4 linked regions of the Drosophila melanogaster genome follow. The protein of the gene in region 1 interacts with the protein of each later gene in a pairwise test. Each region holds a gene or a part of one and is shown on either strand. Other genes may lie near its edges. The genes, in order: CG15638, CG14354, BORCS6 and Vti1a.

Evidence for each region.
Region 2: the proteins of CG15638 (region 1) and CG14354 interact in a two-hybrid assay, tested with the Drosophila melanogaster proteins (one large-scale study listed by BioGRID).
Region 3: the proteins of CG15638 (region 1) and BORCS6 interact in a two-hybrid assay, tested with the Drosophila melanogaster proteins (one large-scale study listed by BioGRID).
Region 4: the proteins of CG15638 (region 1) and Vti1a interact in a two-hybrid assay, tested with the Drosophila melanogaster proteins (one large-scale study listed by BioGRID).

What each region holds. Positions count from the first base shown.
Region 1 is NT_033779.5:13,534,729-13,537,513, forward strand, and holds CG15638 (uncharacterized protein), read right to left. Parts: upstream 1,051-2,785; 5' UTR 994-1,050; coding exon 670-993; 3' UTR 563-669; downstream 1-562.
Region 2 is NT_033777.3:25,813,582-25,817,083, forward strand, and holds CG14354 (uncharacterized protein), read left to right. Parts: upstream 1-1,897; 5' UTR 1,898-1,976; coding exon 1,977-2,411; intron 2,412-2,466; coding exon 2,467-2,928; 3' UTR 2,929-2,993; downstream 2,994-3,502.
Region 3 is NT_037436.4:539,001-542,647, reverse strand, and holds BORCS6 (BLOC-1 related complex subunit 6), read right to left. Parts: upstream 1,798-3,647; 5' UTR 1,708-1,797; exon of another isoform or gene 1,647-1,707; 5' UTR 1,608-1,646; coding exon 1,220-1,607; intron 1,164-1,219; coding exon 689-1,163; intron 632-688; coding exon 586-631; 3' UTR 501-585; downstream 1-500. Other genes in the region: Cypl (Cyclophilin-like), read left to right, coding at 1-418.
Region 4 is NT_037436.4:690,973-694,825, forward strand, and holds Vti1a (vesicle transport through interaction with t-SNAREs 1a), read right to left. Parts: upstream 1,948-3,853; 5' UTR 1,807-1,947; coding exon 1,713-1,806; intron 1,649-1,712; coding exon 1,050-1,648; 3' UTR 514-1,049; downstream 1-513. Other genes in the region: RabX6, read left to right, coding at 1-438; CG13894 (uncharacterized protein), read right to left, coding at 2,311-3,853.

The sequences.
Region 1 (2,785 bases):
AAATCAAGCCATCACGCTTTCCCCAACCAAATTCCCAAGTGCGAAAGGGATTTGGGGCCGGGAATTATGAGAAAGCACAGTCTGCACACCTCCATTTATGTACATATTAACATATGAATGCAACTCGCATATATCGCATATGTATATGTATACATCACATATCTATGTACATACATACCTGTCTCTCTTTGTTGACTTCGTGGAACAACAGCCAAATGCTTTTTGGTGGGCTTCGAATGAGCTTCGTCTGTTGCAGTGCTAAAACTCATAAATGAATTTGACATGGGATCCATGCAGCCTGCAATGAGAAACGGAATTAAATTCGTTAGTATTTTGATTGTCATAATTCGGTCATTGGTGATTTCGCAAATATGCGTGGTATATGTATGTATATATGTTTTGTATGGACTAGCATTAAAAGTTTTATAATCTTATGATTTTTTATAGCATTCATGTTGCATCAAAAATTAAAGTATCAAGCAAATAAATAAATAGTATTTTGTGAGCCCAACATAAAACATCTTCGTTAAAAGAGGAAGAAAATTGAGATCCAAATGACATTATGTACATTATTTCTTTTTATCTTTATTTCATCGTTAGCACTTGAATTTGGCACCACCTAAACCGAATGATTATGCATTTGCAAAGGAATTCTTCAGCCAGGACCCTTCACTCAGCATCCACATTCAACCGCACCTGCTGGCAGAGGTCCTTCAGCTGCTTGCCCGACTCCTCCATTGCGGTTCGCAGCTGGGAGAGACTGATCTGCAGCCGGGCCATGCGCATGTCGCCGGCTTTTAGCCGCACCTCCTGGTTGGACGTAAAGCCGGTGGCATCTCGACGAGCTCGCTGTGGGCGTGGGTGCTGTGGACGTGGGTGCAATTGGAGGTTCCTTTGGGTGACCAGATTGGCAGCCAGACGAGTGTCGGACTCCTCCGTCTGGTCGAGGCCATTGCTGGGTCGGCAGTGCGTCTTGGGTTTCGTTTCCGGCATTCTAGCTTGGGCGGTGGATTATAATCTCCGTTCTAGTCGATTGTTGTCACAAAAATTTGGCTTGGGAAATTGACATCTATGAATACGTATGTATGTATGTATGTCGAAGTGTTTCAAATTGTGACATCATGAGCATGAAATTCTGAGCTCCGCACAGGATGCGATATGGTTCGGTATTTTGTGGTGGCCACCCGGAAAAGTTAGCCGGCAGAAGGGGCAACATGTGTGCTTTGGAGCATACCACTGAACTTTAATTACAATTAACCGCAAATGATGTAGCGCTGCTGGTGACTTGCGGTCATATGCGAAAAAATTATGATAACAAAATGTTAAACCTTCTTTATGCGACTTTAAAATGCCCTTTAATAAATTAAATTGTTTATAATATCAATTTTAAACCATAAAGAAAGGCTACACAATATAGACAGCTATCTTAAAAAAGTTAAATCATATATTTTATACTGTTGCTTTGGCCCTGAATATCAAATTCGACTTGTTCAATGAAATAACTAATTTAAATCAATTACTTAAGTTGAGAGCAATAATTAATTCATGTCTTCCATAATTGAAATCGACATCCCTGGTAGCATCGCCAATGCAGGATACTGCAAAAAAGTGGAAGTAAACCTATTATTGTGCCAGGAGTGCCCAGGCACACAGACACACTCCTTCCAGGAGGCAGGAATCCAGGAGTAACACGGACACGAACGTGGAACGAGAAAGGAAGGGAGGACGAGGAATGGGGCTGACCACATGGGAGGACGAAATGGCATGCGATGGCCGGGCAAAACCAGCTCCTGTTACCTTGCGGAAAATGTAGGGGATGGGGCGGGGGTCTTGCAATTAATTAAAAATACATGCACCGTGAACGAGTTGCAGACATCCTGGCCCTGGTCCTCCTGCCTCCTGCAGCTGCATTAATTTGACCGCAAAATAAGCCAAGTATTCGGTGCAAGGCGAAACCATATCGGCAGAGCGAATATTTTCCGTGCCACCGCTCACCGCTAAATGCATTACACTCGAGACCAGCAAAATGATGTCCTGCTTTCGTACGAGCCCCCCCCCCTCCTCATCACTCTTTTTTCTTCTTCCTCTTTTCTTGTCTGGGAGCCAGTGGTCAGCATGTGGCTGGCAGAAAAAGGTCCTTGTGCTGCCATTCGTGCTGCGTAAGCTGCGTTCATTTGTAAACAACATAGTCATCGCTCGAAAACAATAACAAGCCCAGCCAGAAGGACAGCAGCTAAAGTTAGAGTACGTAAGACCTGAATAATTGAATACACTTTGCGAGCTCTGCACAAAAAAAAAAATGTAATTCAGGCAAATTGAGCACGAGAAATAATTTAAAACATTGTACTGTACATGGGATAATACATATCATAATAATTCGAGAGACTCGCATTTCGTAGATAAAATCATAAAATCAGCAATCGCAAATCAGTGGCCGCCTTCTAATCGGAATTTTTCTGCTATCTACAAATTACATTTCCTGCATTTGTACATATGGCATAGACAAAAGCCATGGCAAATTGCGTGGCTTTTGGCTTATATGTACATATGGTTATGCGCAGGGTATGGGAAAAGTAACCAAGGCCAGGACATCAAATAAAGTTAAGCAAACAAGAGCATTAAGTGCATTGATGTTGTTATTGCCGTTGTCCGGGGAACCCAGAAAGCGTTTCCTTTTTATTTTTACTCCTCGCTGGTCCTTCGTGGTCCTTCGTCGATGCCTTTGCCGATTTAAGGAACAACTTCATTAGGCAAGTGCTCGACCGGCTCCAAGCAGCCTGCTGCC
Region 2 (3,502 bases), on another chromosome or scaffold:
GCAACCTCTTGGGGTCTTTGGGGCTTGTGTCTGACTTTATAAATATTTCGTGTGTGTTGTGTACGCGCATGTATGAATTTTCAATTTTTTGAACAAGTTTCGGTTTCAGTTCAGACATGTCAAAATGTCAACTTGCTTAATTGAGAGTCCGCAAAACATCGAGCATCGCATCGCATTGCATCGCATTGCATCGAATCGAATCGAATCGAGACCTTAACTTCAATGTGCATTCGCATGGAATAAGAACAAAAGCCCAAGCAGATTCCAATTTCAGATCTGACATCAATAAGCACTTACAGTGGCATAAATATTATATATACTCGAGAGCTGGCAAATATATATGTCTATATGCGGTTCAAACACCAGAACGACATCGGCACTTCGCCACCTCGCCGCATAGACGAGTTGGTTTTCAGCTTCAGTTTTCAGTTAGCAGCAGGCACAGGACATGTTCGATGGACTGGCTGCAGAGGAAATTGAATTTGTGGGCAGGACCTCCCTCCCTAGACGGTTCATCCGATGGTGTCGGCGACGGGGCAGTGGGCTCTGCAATATCGAAGAAGGATATTTGAGTGGCAAGTAAATCAGAAATAAGAAAGAAAACACATCGTATACAAGGGAGCTCTCTTTGAGTTTGATCTATGTGTTTTTCGCAAAGACCAGACATTCAGAAAATTGATGTGTTTGTTTTCATTCTCCAGCCTTTAAGACATCATATTTCTCACAGAAACTATGCCTTCGGTTTTTTATGAGGCTATTTCAACTCCGTTTTGGTTGATCCATACACTTGGAAACACTGATATTGACTTTACTTTGAGACAAACTCGTTATTGCGATATTCATAGTTCGTAAGATTAATGCATTTAATGCATTACATATGCATATGCATACATATTCTAATATTTTTATCTTGCACACAATTTTTTTTTAAGTGTATGGCAAAAAGAAAGCATTCTGCTGGCATGCATATGAATTTCTTCTAGGATACTTTTTTTATGCGGTTTGCCGCCCACGTTCCGCACTTGGAGTGTCATTTTTGAGTGGAGTCGGTATGTGCGTAGGATGGGGCAGTGGGTATTGGTATGGAACACTTCCGCACAGGCACTTGAATACGCAAAAAGGCGAATGCAAGTGACGAGGTCCATGAACAAGGCCGAGAGTGTGTCCTGGCCGAAATACGGACTTTTGCGCCAGGGGACGACTTTGGTAAACAACCGCACTCTGGTCAAATTTGGACTGTGGTCCTGGCCACATATATACACAGTTTAAGCAGTTAAAGTTATCTGTTATCTCTAATTGAGAGAGAAATGTGTGTGCGTGTGTGGGGGCTCAAATTTAAAGTTGTTGATTTTATTACGCATACGCCTAGTGGCTCTAGCCATGGCCTCTTATGTTGGCCGTAACAAACTTGCCCGCTTAATGGCGCAGCTTTTTCGGGTCCTCAATCAAATGGTAGGAAATGTCGGGGCTTTCGTCATGGGAAGCCGGCAAAAACCCTTTTCGGATTAACAGATCAACGCACAAATGACCCGAGCAATCGTCTTGGGTTTTCCCAGTTTTTTCCTTCTTGATTTTCCCTGCCATTCCGATAAGGCTGGAAGCTTATCGGGGCTGAAGGACTTTGACGACCCAATTAATTCTTGTTCAACAACCGGCCGAAAAAAAAAATTGTTGCCACATGCATTGTTAGTCTACTTTTCATGTCAAGGAAAAGCGACGGCTGAGAAAAAAAAAACTAAGTGAATAAGGTACAAAAGAAAATAAAAATGAGAAACTCGTGAACGTTAAGTTAAATTGCGCGGAAAAGTTATGCGTCCCCGTTACCCAGAGTTTCTCTAACAAAAAAACTTTGTTAAACATTTTATTCCCTAGAACGCTTGCCACGTTGGCTTAGCGGAACTACTTGAAATGTAAAAATGTTCGAGCCTTGAGTTGAAAAGGCAAACTTGGCAGCAACTTTGAAGGTTCACATAATTATGCGCATTGCCTTGCCACGGCTCCTGTGCCACATCCTTCTCTATCACCTGCTCATGATCTCGTCCAGCCTTGCAGCCTGCTACCAACGTCATTCGAGTTGCCCGCAGAACCAGCAGCAGTCCAGATCCCAGCTTCTGGACCAGTCCGCGGACCTCACCATGGGCATAAGACAAGGCAACTCCAAGCAGACCGCCTCGAATATTGCCCAGAAGGCTGCCCAGGAGGCCAAGAAGGCGTCGGACACTCAGGCACCAGCTGCTCTGGCTGCTGCCCGCCAGGTGAAACACCAGCTGGCCGAGAAAGCCATTGCTGCGGCCAAGGCCGCTGAGGCGGCGCTGGCGGGGAAACAACAACTTATGGAGCAGCTGCAGGACGAGGTGCACGAGGCGGAGATTATTGTGCAGGAGGAAACCTACTCACTGGTTGGTTCACAGGTATGTGCTAAACCCCCTTTTATTACCAATTCTATTATGATATGCTAAATTTCAGACAAATGTCAATGTCGCTGTTGCCACAGCGAAGCAATGTCAAACGCTGTTGCAATCGCTTCGGAGCTCAGTAAAAGTTGCCGAGGAGGCAGTGAGCAATGCTGAGGCAGCTGCATCCGGTGCCCAGCAGGAGTTGTGCGAAAAGAACCAGCTGGTGGAAACCGCTCGCCAGAGAGCAGAGATGCTGATGCAGCAGCTGCGCTCCGCCAAACTGGACTATACCAACACGAGGAAGGCCGCCTACAGGGCTGCCTGTGCCGCCAACGAAGCAAGGAACAAGGCTGTAAGGGACCGAAGATCCTACGAGGAGGACATCGGTGGAACTTTTGGGCAGCAGCAGCAGCAGCAGCAACAAATGCTGCACAATCACGACCAGCCAGGAAATCTCCAAGATCCAGAAGTTAAAGGACAGGTGGAGGGATGGGAGTATAATGAGCAGGGTAAAGCTATATTTTCTAATTGATGTGCCCTGTAAAATACATATTATTTTGCTAAAATAGTTTAAAAAAAAAATGTATTAAAAGGACCAAATTCCGGACTTTATTTTAAAGTTTATCAGCAGCATGAGACCATGTTTCGAGTGAAAAGTGTGGGCACATTGGAACTTTCTCTGCCAAACGCCTGGGGGATTTGGCAACGCCAATCGAAGCGAACTCCAAAAAGGCAAAATGACAGAGCCAAAAAGGGACACGAAACCCAATTGGCTTGTAAAACAATTTGACCAAAGCTATTTTGTTATAACTTTTGGCTCTTTTTTTTTGTTTTCACATTTTTCTTTCCTTTTTTTGCGGTCACAGTGACAGTGGAAAAAGGCGTGACACAATAGGGGGCATTACTAAAGTTTTCACCACACGTTTTCAATAATGATTAGTTTCGGTATTCTCTTTGGGGAATTGACAAAGAACATTGCCAAGAACATTAAGTTTAAAGTTTTTCGATTCTCGCTCGCTTGCAAAAGTTTACTTACATAAGCAGAAATGGCAATAAATAAATGTTGCTTGTCACCGTATTAATTGGGTCATCAGTTGGGATATCGT
Region 3 (3,647 bases), on another chromosome or scaffold:
GAAACACGCGCCCAACACCTGCCGCAACTTTGCCGAACTCTCGAGAAGGGGCTACTACAACAACGTGGTGTTCCACCGGATCATCAGGGACTTCATGATCCAGGGCGGCGATCCCACGGGCACTGGCCGCGGAGGCGCCTCCATCTACGGATCGGAGTTCGCGGACGAGCTGCACGGCGACTTGAGGCACACGGGCGCGGGCATCCTCTCGATGGCCAACTCTGGACCGGACACCAACGGGTCCCAGTTCTTCATCACGCTGGCGCCCACGCAGTGGCTGGATGGCAAGCACACGATCTTCGGCAGGGTCTACACGGGCATGGAGGTGGTCAAGCGGATCGGCATGGTGGAAACCGACAAGAACGATCGCCCCGTGGATCCCCTAAGGATCATCAAGGCCAAGGTGGAGAAGCTGTGAGCCAAGGAGGTGGATTTTTTGGAGGAACTGCTAGAATAAGTACGATTTAAACAAGCGAAAGGTATCTTTCCATATGGATTTTATAACACTGATTATATGTATTTACGGAATGACTAGAAAGACAAGATCTCTTTGATTGGTTGATCACAGGATAGCGTAGCCCTATTTTACATGGTGCTGTCCAACATGTCCACCAGCCGCTTGATCTGCCTTCTGCGGAAGAGAAAGTCCATTACACTAAAGGGATCTGTCTTGAATTGACCCACTTACATGCGCTGACCCAGCTGCTCTGTGGGTTTCATCGACTTGGTGATTTCCTCCGCCTTGGCCAGCAATTGGTACTGGCACTTGATATTCGCGTCCAAAGTGTCCGTCAGCTTGTTGACCGCGTTGCGATGGACCTCCACGTTGTCGGCCGTTATGGAGGAGATTGAGTGCAGCAGGTTGCCCAGGTTTTCCATCAGATTGTCCACCGAGCTGGCCAAGTACTGAGCCTCCAGTTCGATGTCGCTCAAGACGCTGCCGTCCACTTCGGGAATGTTGCGCGACTGCAGGAACCGCCGCGTGAGCAGACCGTTGCCGGAAGTGGCTCCAATGGGACCCATGGAGCTCAGGGGCGTGGTGTGCTCCGAGGAGTAGGCCGAAGCCGCCACGCGCTCGCGCAACTTGGCCTCTAGATCGTGGGCCACAAAGTGGCGCATCCCGTCGGAGTCACTGGTTTCGCCGTCCAGCTCGTAGGGCACAGCTGAAAGAAGGAAGATGCTTTAGTCAGGAACTATGGGTAGATAACCTAGAACCCACTGCTCTCTGCCTTCAGTCTGTGCCTTTCGATGTCGCCGGAACTGCCCTTAGAGTTGCTATTCGAGTTGCTGTTGTCCTCCTCCTCCAAGGGATCGTCTTCCTCGTCGGGATCCTCGCCCGAATCCAGGTTAAGGTATTTCTCGCCGTTGGGTCTTGTCTTTGTGCTTCCGGGAATCGCAGCATGGCCAGTGGCTGTGGGCGTCAGATCCTGGAGCACGTGCTCTGGCACCGCTCCCGGATACTGAGCCAGGAACGGAATTTCCGTGTAGGAGGAGGCGGGCGTGGCTCCGGATCCAGAACTCCTGGCTGCCCCTTCCGATGGGCCACTCTCCTCGGCCACATAACCGTAACGTGGGCGGATGGGAATGTCCTGGTGGCGGTGCGACATTCTGCACTGCTCTTTTCAATCCAAGGAACTTTAGGCAGACTAAGAAATGTATGTCAATTTTCTGAATGAAAACCAAAACAAAGCATTTACTGGTATATACCAAATGGTTATCGATAACATCTATTTATCGAATGTATTTGCATTAGGCCCTGTTCAGGCTGAGGTCCACCTTACCTATATCGAGCCTTTTTTACGTAGGATTGACCTATGCAACTTGATGTGCGTAAACTATATTTTCCTAACCCTGATGGAAATTTCGGTTTTAGTGAGAAACAGATTTCAGATGTTATTTGGTTGAGTATATGACAGTTCGATAGTATCGCACACTTACTCTTCACGATTTTGCTTTTACCAAGAAATGGTCACACTCCAGCTCGCACTATCGAGTCATCGATAGGACCGATAGGCCAGCCCGTTAAATCGAAGACAGTCGTGTTTATAATTTGCGGCTCCGAGGTGTGCGGCGCGCATTGGGCAGACTGGAGTGAACTAAGTAAATCTGCAGCGTTCTAATTTAATTGCGCGATGAGCGCGTAAAAACACACCTGCGTAGCGCTGCAATAAAACCAATGTAGATTTTTGTTTATATGTTCGCGTTTCCATCGTATTTTTCGAGTCTTATTCGTTTTAATTGTTAGTGCTCGTACGCTAAGTGAATTGCTAGCAACTTGGGGCTAAAAGTGCCAAAAAGAGCCAGAATCGAAAAGAAGCGGCTAAAGAGGAATAAGCGAAAAGGAAGCAACGAAAACGGTGTTTTGCTCTCTTTCTCCTCTCTCATCCTCGCCATGTGTGTGCGTGTGCAAATGTGTGTGTTGGCGTCGCTAAAAAAGTGCATGTGAAGATTAGGAAAATAATAAGGAAGGCAACGAAAAGTAAAATAAAATTTGATGTACAAAATACGCAAATTGGTGACAAACAATGTACAAGTGGCATACATGAAATAAAGTTTTATGCAAAAAAAACAAAATCGACTGCAGTGCGTGCACTTGTGTGTATGTGCCGCTGCATATGTGTATGTGTGCAGTGTGGAAATAAAGCAAGAGAGAAAAAAAAACTGTTTGCAGCCGGGGTACAAATTCCAATTGGAGTCTCAAGGAGCATAAATTCCCATTCGACGCATGCGTGGCTGCTAAAAAAAGCAAGTAAGTTAAATTGTTTGTACTAAAGAATCTTATAAAATGCAACTGAAAATGGATAAAAGTGTAAAAAAAAGGAAAGACTTTTTTGCCTTCTCTGTTTTCTACGGGTACGTACGAATGTGTGTGTGTGTGTGCTCTCTTCTATTTTGTTCTTGACTTCTTGTTCTTTTCTTCTTCTTGGCCAGTTACTCTTATGCTTTGTCTTTCTTCTCAGGCCGTTCTGCTTCTTTCTTTTAACTGCAAATTGTGCAGTCAGCAAGTATGAGAGCGAGAAAGAGACAGCGATCTTTCTTTTTCACCCACCCACTTCTTCCCCTCTTCCTCTAGCGGTTATATTCGCTTTATTGTATTGGTGCTTTTCCTATCTATATCTACCGTTATGTTTCGATTGCGATTTCGTAATAACTGCGATAATATTTGCTCTCTCTCGCTCTTCTTCTCTTTCGGCTTTCCACTCTCTTCCCTTTTAGTTATGTGTGTGTAACTGCACATTTGAATTGTTGTTGTTTTTATTAAAATGCGTGGGTTGATTTTTCAATCAATCAATCAATCGTTTATTTTGGCATCGATAATATGGAAAAGTGGATTGATATGTGGACAAGAAAAGCATGTGATGAATCAGGAGAAAGGAATTACTCGATAATTAGCTTCTAACTTTTATATTCTGTAAAAAAATGTATTTTTAAACGTCTAAATCCAATAGGAAAAACAAGCAAGTTGGTCGAAAATAAAAGAACTCAATTTCTGGATCCTTGTTTTGTTAAGTATTTCCCTATTTCGCACTTTAAATTCCATTCCATTTCTATAAACAAATGTTGTCGCACTCTTACTGTTTATTTACATCGCATCGAAGAAAGATTTTCCATTTTCATGGGCGACACTTGAACGGGGTTTTCTCTGG
Region 4 (3,853 bases), on another chromosome or scaffold:
ATGGAGCGTGTGGCCTCGGTCACATCCTCGTACTACAAGTTCGCCGAGGGAGCCATCCTGGTCTTTGCTTTGGACAACGCCGCTTCGTTCCACTCGCTGTCGCAGCACTTGCTGGACATTGTGACCTATGCAGAGAATGCCAAGATCTTCATCTGTGGCAATAAGAGCGATCTGGATGGCAGGGAGCCGGAGGTCAGCGATGAGGAAGTGGAGGCCTTCTGCGAGCAGTGCCACTCACTGATCAGTGCCACGTACAAGACCTCCTGTCGCAGCGGCGCCGGTGTGGAGGAGATGTTCCGTGACATCTCTAGGCAACTGGTCCACGCCAATCGCTCCAAAATGGAACTGCAGGCACTGGAGCACAAGAGCTTCCAGGTGGACACTGCGAGCAGCGGCGCGGCGACCAACGAGGAGGACGCCTCCTCCTGCGGCTGCTAGCAGTTGGGGAACATTGAGTTCGGCTAGGAACCCTTATTCCCGCCAGGCTCAATGCTCACGCAGAGATGCATTTTTACTGTTTCCTTTATTTATTGATAGCTTTCGGCTATGTTATGATTTTTAGATACGTACATGTTCAATTCGAATTTTTACGAAAAATACGTCCCGAACGCGAACACGAGTCATAGAGTAGGATTAGTTTCTATTAACCAGGCGCCAAACATTAACCACTTAAACTTTGTACACGTAAGCTAGGATGGCGGATACGCGAGTGATAGGTTAGAAATCTGCGGTAAGAATTAAAAAGTAATAGGAATTCCATCGATTAACAAGAAGGTCAATTTAATCTTAAAGGTAAAAGGACAACAAAATATATAGACATCGATTGACCGCAGATAACTACTCTAAGCTTCGACTCTTATTGCACGTAATACTCCATCCTATCTTATATAGATTAGTGCGTAATCTGCAGCTTTCTTCCACAGAATATCTCGTAAAAATAAAATATACTAAACAATAAATAATCAACTCACGAAATTGGAATGGACAGGCTTCTATAACATTTGAATTTGGGCTAAGATCATTGGCTATTGGTTTGCTAGCTAAAATTACTACGACGAGGCGGTGCTGCTTGAACTGGGTGCGAAGGTCAGATAGAGACTGACGCCCACGGCCACCACAAAGCAGACACCCACTCCATACAAGACCACCTTCTCCCGCAGGGCTCTTAACATCATGGTATTCAGAGTGCGAGAAGCTCTTCCCAGCTCGGCATTGGTTTCTCGAAGTCGAGCCCTGGCTCCCTGTAGAGTTTCCCTTTGGTGGTGCAGATCATTTAGGACCTGGGCGCCCAGTTGCTCCGTCTCCAAGGCCACTCTGTACCCTTCGGTTAACCTGTTGCCCGTCCGTTCAATCCTTTCCGAGTTGTCCAAGAGGCGTTGGCGTTGATCTGTACTTATGGACACATCCTCATAGCTGTCACCCAAGTCCAGAGTGGTGAATGTGTTGGCTTGGGAGCGCTGTTTGTCCTTGGTCAACCTGTACTCCGCCTGCAGCCGTTTCAGTTCTGCCTGGGCCACCTGCAGCTTTCCGTTGAAGCTGCTCCGCAGTCCAGGATTTAGCTCCCTCACCTCCAGACCCATCTGCTCCAGCAATTCCTGAGCCTCGGGCAAACTGGAGTCGATCTTGCTGCACAAATCATGGCGCTCGCCTGGAGTAAATGGACAAATGGTAATCACCATAATGTACAATCCATGGACAATCATCCCACTCACTGTTGTTGTTTTGCTGCTGCAGCCGTCCAATATGGGCCGTTATTTCTGCTATTAACGTGGCGTATTGCTGTTCGTATTGCTCCAGAAGCGACATTTGTGCGGTTTTTATTCTACCTTATTCAGTTGTTTATGGTATTTGTTCTGTTTTAGTTCGCGAAAATTACAGATTTATCGAAGAAAAGAAGTAAACATTGTCCAAGTGTGGCCGAGTCATGAGGTGAACAGTAATACAGCAATCTATAAATACTTTTAAGTCGTGGTCACTCTGATTTCGAGTCAGCGTTGCCATACTCATGTAAAAAACACTGCCAACTTCAAGGACTACAATATTCTCGTAAGAACTCAGATAAAACCAACTTCCGTTTTAAATACGTAAATAAAACACAAACATATCTATTATTTTATAAATTCCATTTTATTGTACTTAGAGTAATTAATAAATTAATTAATTAGGTTCAGCTTTATGCGAGTGGAGATTCTTTGTTAACCTAAGCAACTGTTTTGGCGGTAGTACGATTTAATAATACTACATGATACATATGTACACTGTTCATCACATTTATGTTTTGTGCTGTCCTGGTCCGCGATTAGAAAACTCTTAACCCTCGACCAGTGTGGCCTTGTCCCCTTTTCGGAGCACCAGTTCCAATTGGGACAGCAAGCCAATAGCCCGAAAGTTCTCCTTGAAGAGCACGAAGTCCTCCAGCGGTTTTAGGTACTCCAAGGCCTGGTGGTAGCTTTCCAACTCCTTCAGCATGCATAAAGCCTTCTTATCCTCGGGGTCTGGGGATGTGTGTCCATTGGTTTGGCTGCCGGAGGAGCTGGATCCATTGGGGATCTTTTTTGGCGAGGCGGGAGCAGAGGCGGGTTTGGTGGACGCAGCTCGAGCTGGTGCAGGTGAGTCCTTTCCCTTGGAAGAAAGGGCAGGCGTGGATTTGCCACTTGTTCCGCCTCCCTTGGGGGCGTTCTCCTTGCTGCTGGCACTGTCTCTTCCCCCGCTATTATTGTTGTTCTGCTCGTTGGGACTGGAACTTCGACTGTGCTTGCTGGTTAAGGTTGATTCTGCTAGCGGATATGGTGGTGAGTTCACCGCTGAGTTAATCTCTTGCACTTCGTCATCATCGGGTGACTCCATTTTGGGTCTCTTGGCCAACTGAACGGGCTGGAAGGGACTGGCCCGCTGCGGTGGAACATTTGGCGGCAATTGGGGCTGAAAGGGTTCCCTTTGAGGTGGCATAGTGGGTGGAAACTGTTGCATCTGCTGCTGCTGCTGGAGTTGCTGTTGCATTTGCTGTTGATGCCGCTCGAAATAAAAGTCGTTGAAGCTGGCGAACCCGGGGTGTGGAGTAGGATGTCCGGGATGTCCTGGAAACGGTGGCCATGGGTGGCCCATTTGATGCTGCTGCTGTTGCATATGTTGCTGCTGGAGGGCAAAGTGCTGCTGTTGCTGCTGCTGTTGCTCTTGATAGCTCTGCTCCTTTACATCCATACTGTCATCATCTTCTTCGTATTCTCCGTACTGTTGCATGTAGGTCATGTACTGCTCGGGCATCTCCTCCAGTTTGGCCACTCTTTCAGCGCTCGCGGGCGGAAAGAGATGGGCTAGGTCCTGTACGATGTCCGGGATCCACAGGGAGGATCCTAGTGGCTTCAACTGGTTGCTGGCTAGTTTTTGGGCAAAGCCTTGAAGATGAGTCTCTCGGAAACGGTTTAACCAGCGATTGTCTGCTATAAAGGATGTGCTCCCTATGACTTGTCTGGCATTCTCCGCCTTGTCCTTGATCATTCCGTGGGTAATGCTACCTCGCAGCTGGGGATTGATATTGGCCCTTACTAGCCATTCGTATACCACTGCATTGATGTAGGCGCACTTTCGGCTCCTCTCGATCTCCTCCACCATGGCCTGCTGCTCAACGGCCTCCAGGTTGGAGGGAACTTCCAGACGCAGGGTGGGCAGCGCATTCGACTGCAGTCGCCTGCCACCCAAGACACTGGGGTCAAAGTGCAGGGCACATACCACTGGCTTTTTGAAGGGCACAATTCGTCTTAGGGAGGCGTGGCACGCCTCCTTCCACAGCTTGTGGAAGGGGTTCTCCGGCCGGGGAAACGCAAAGAACTGCATACTCGGGTGCTGACGCGAA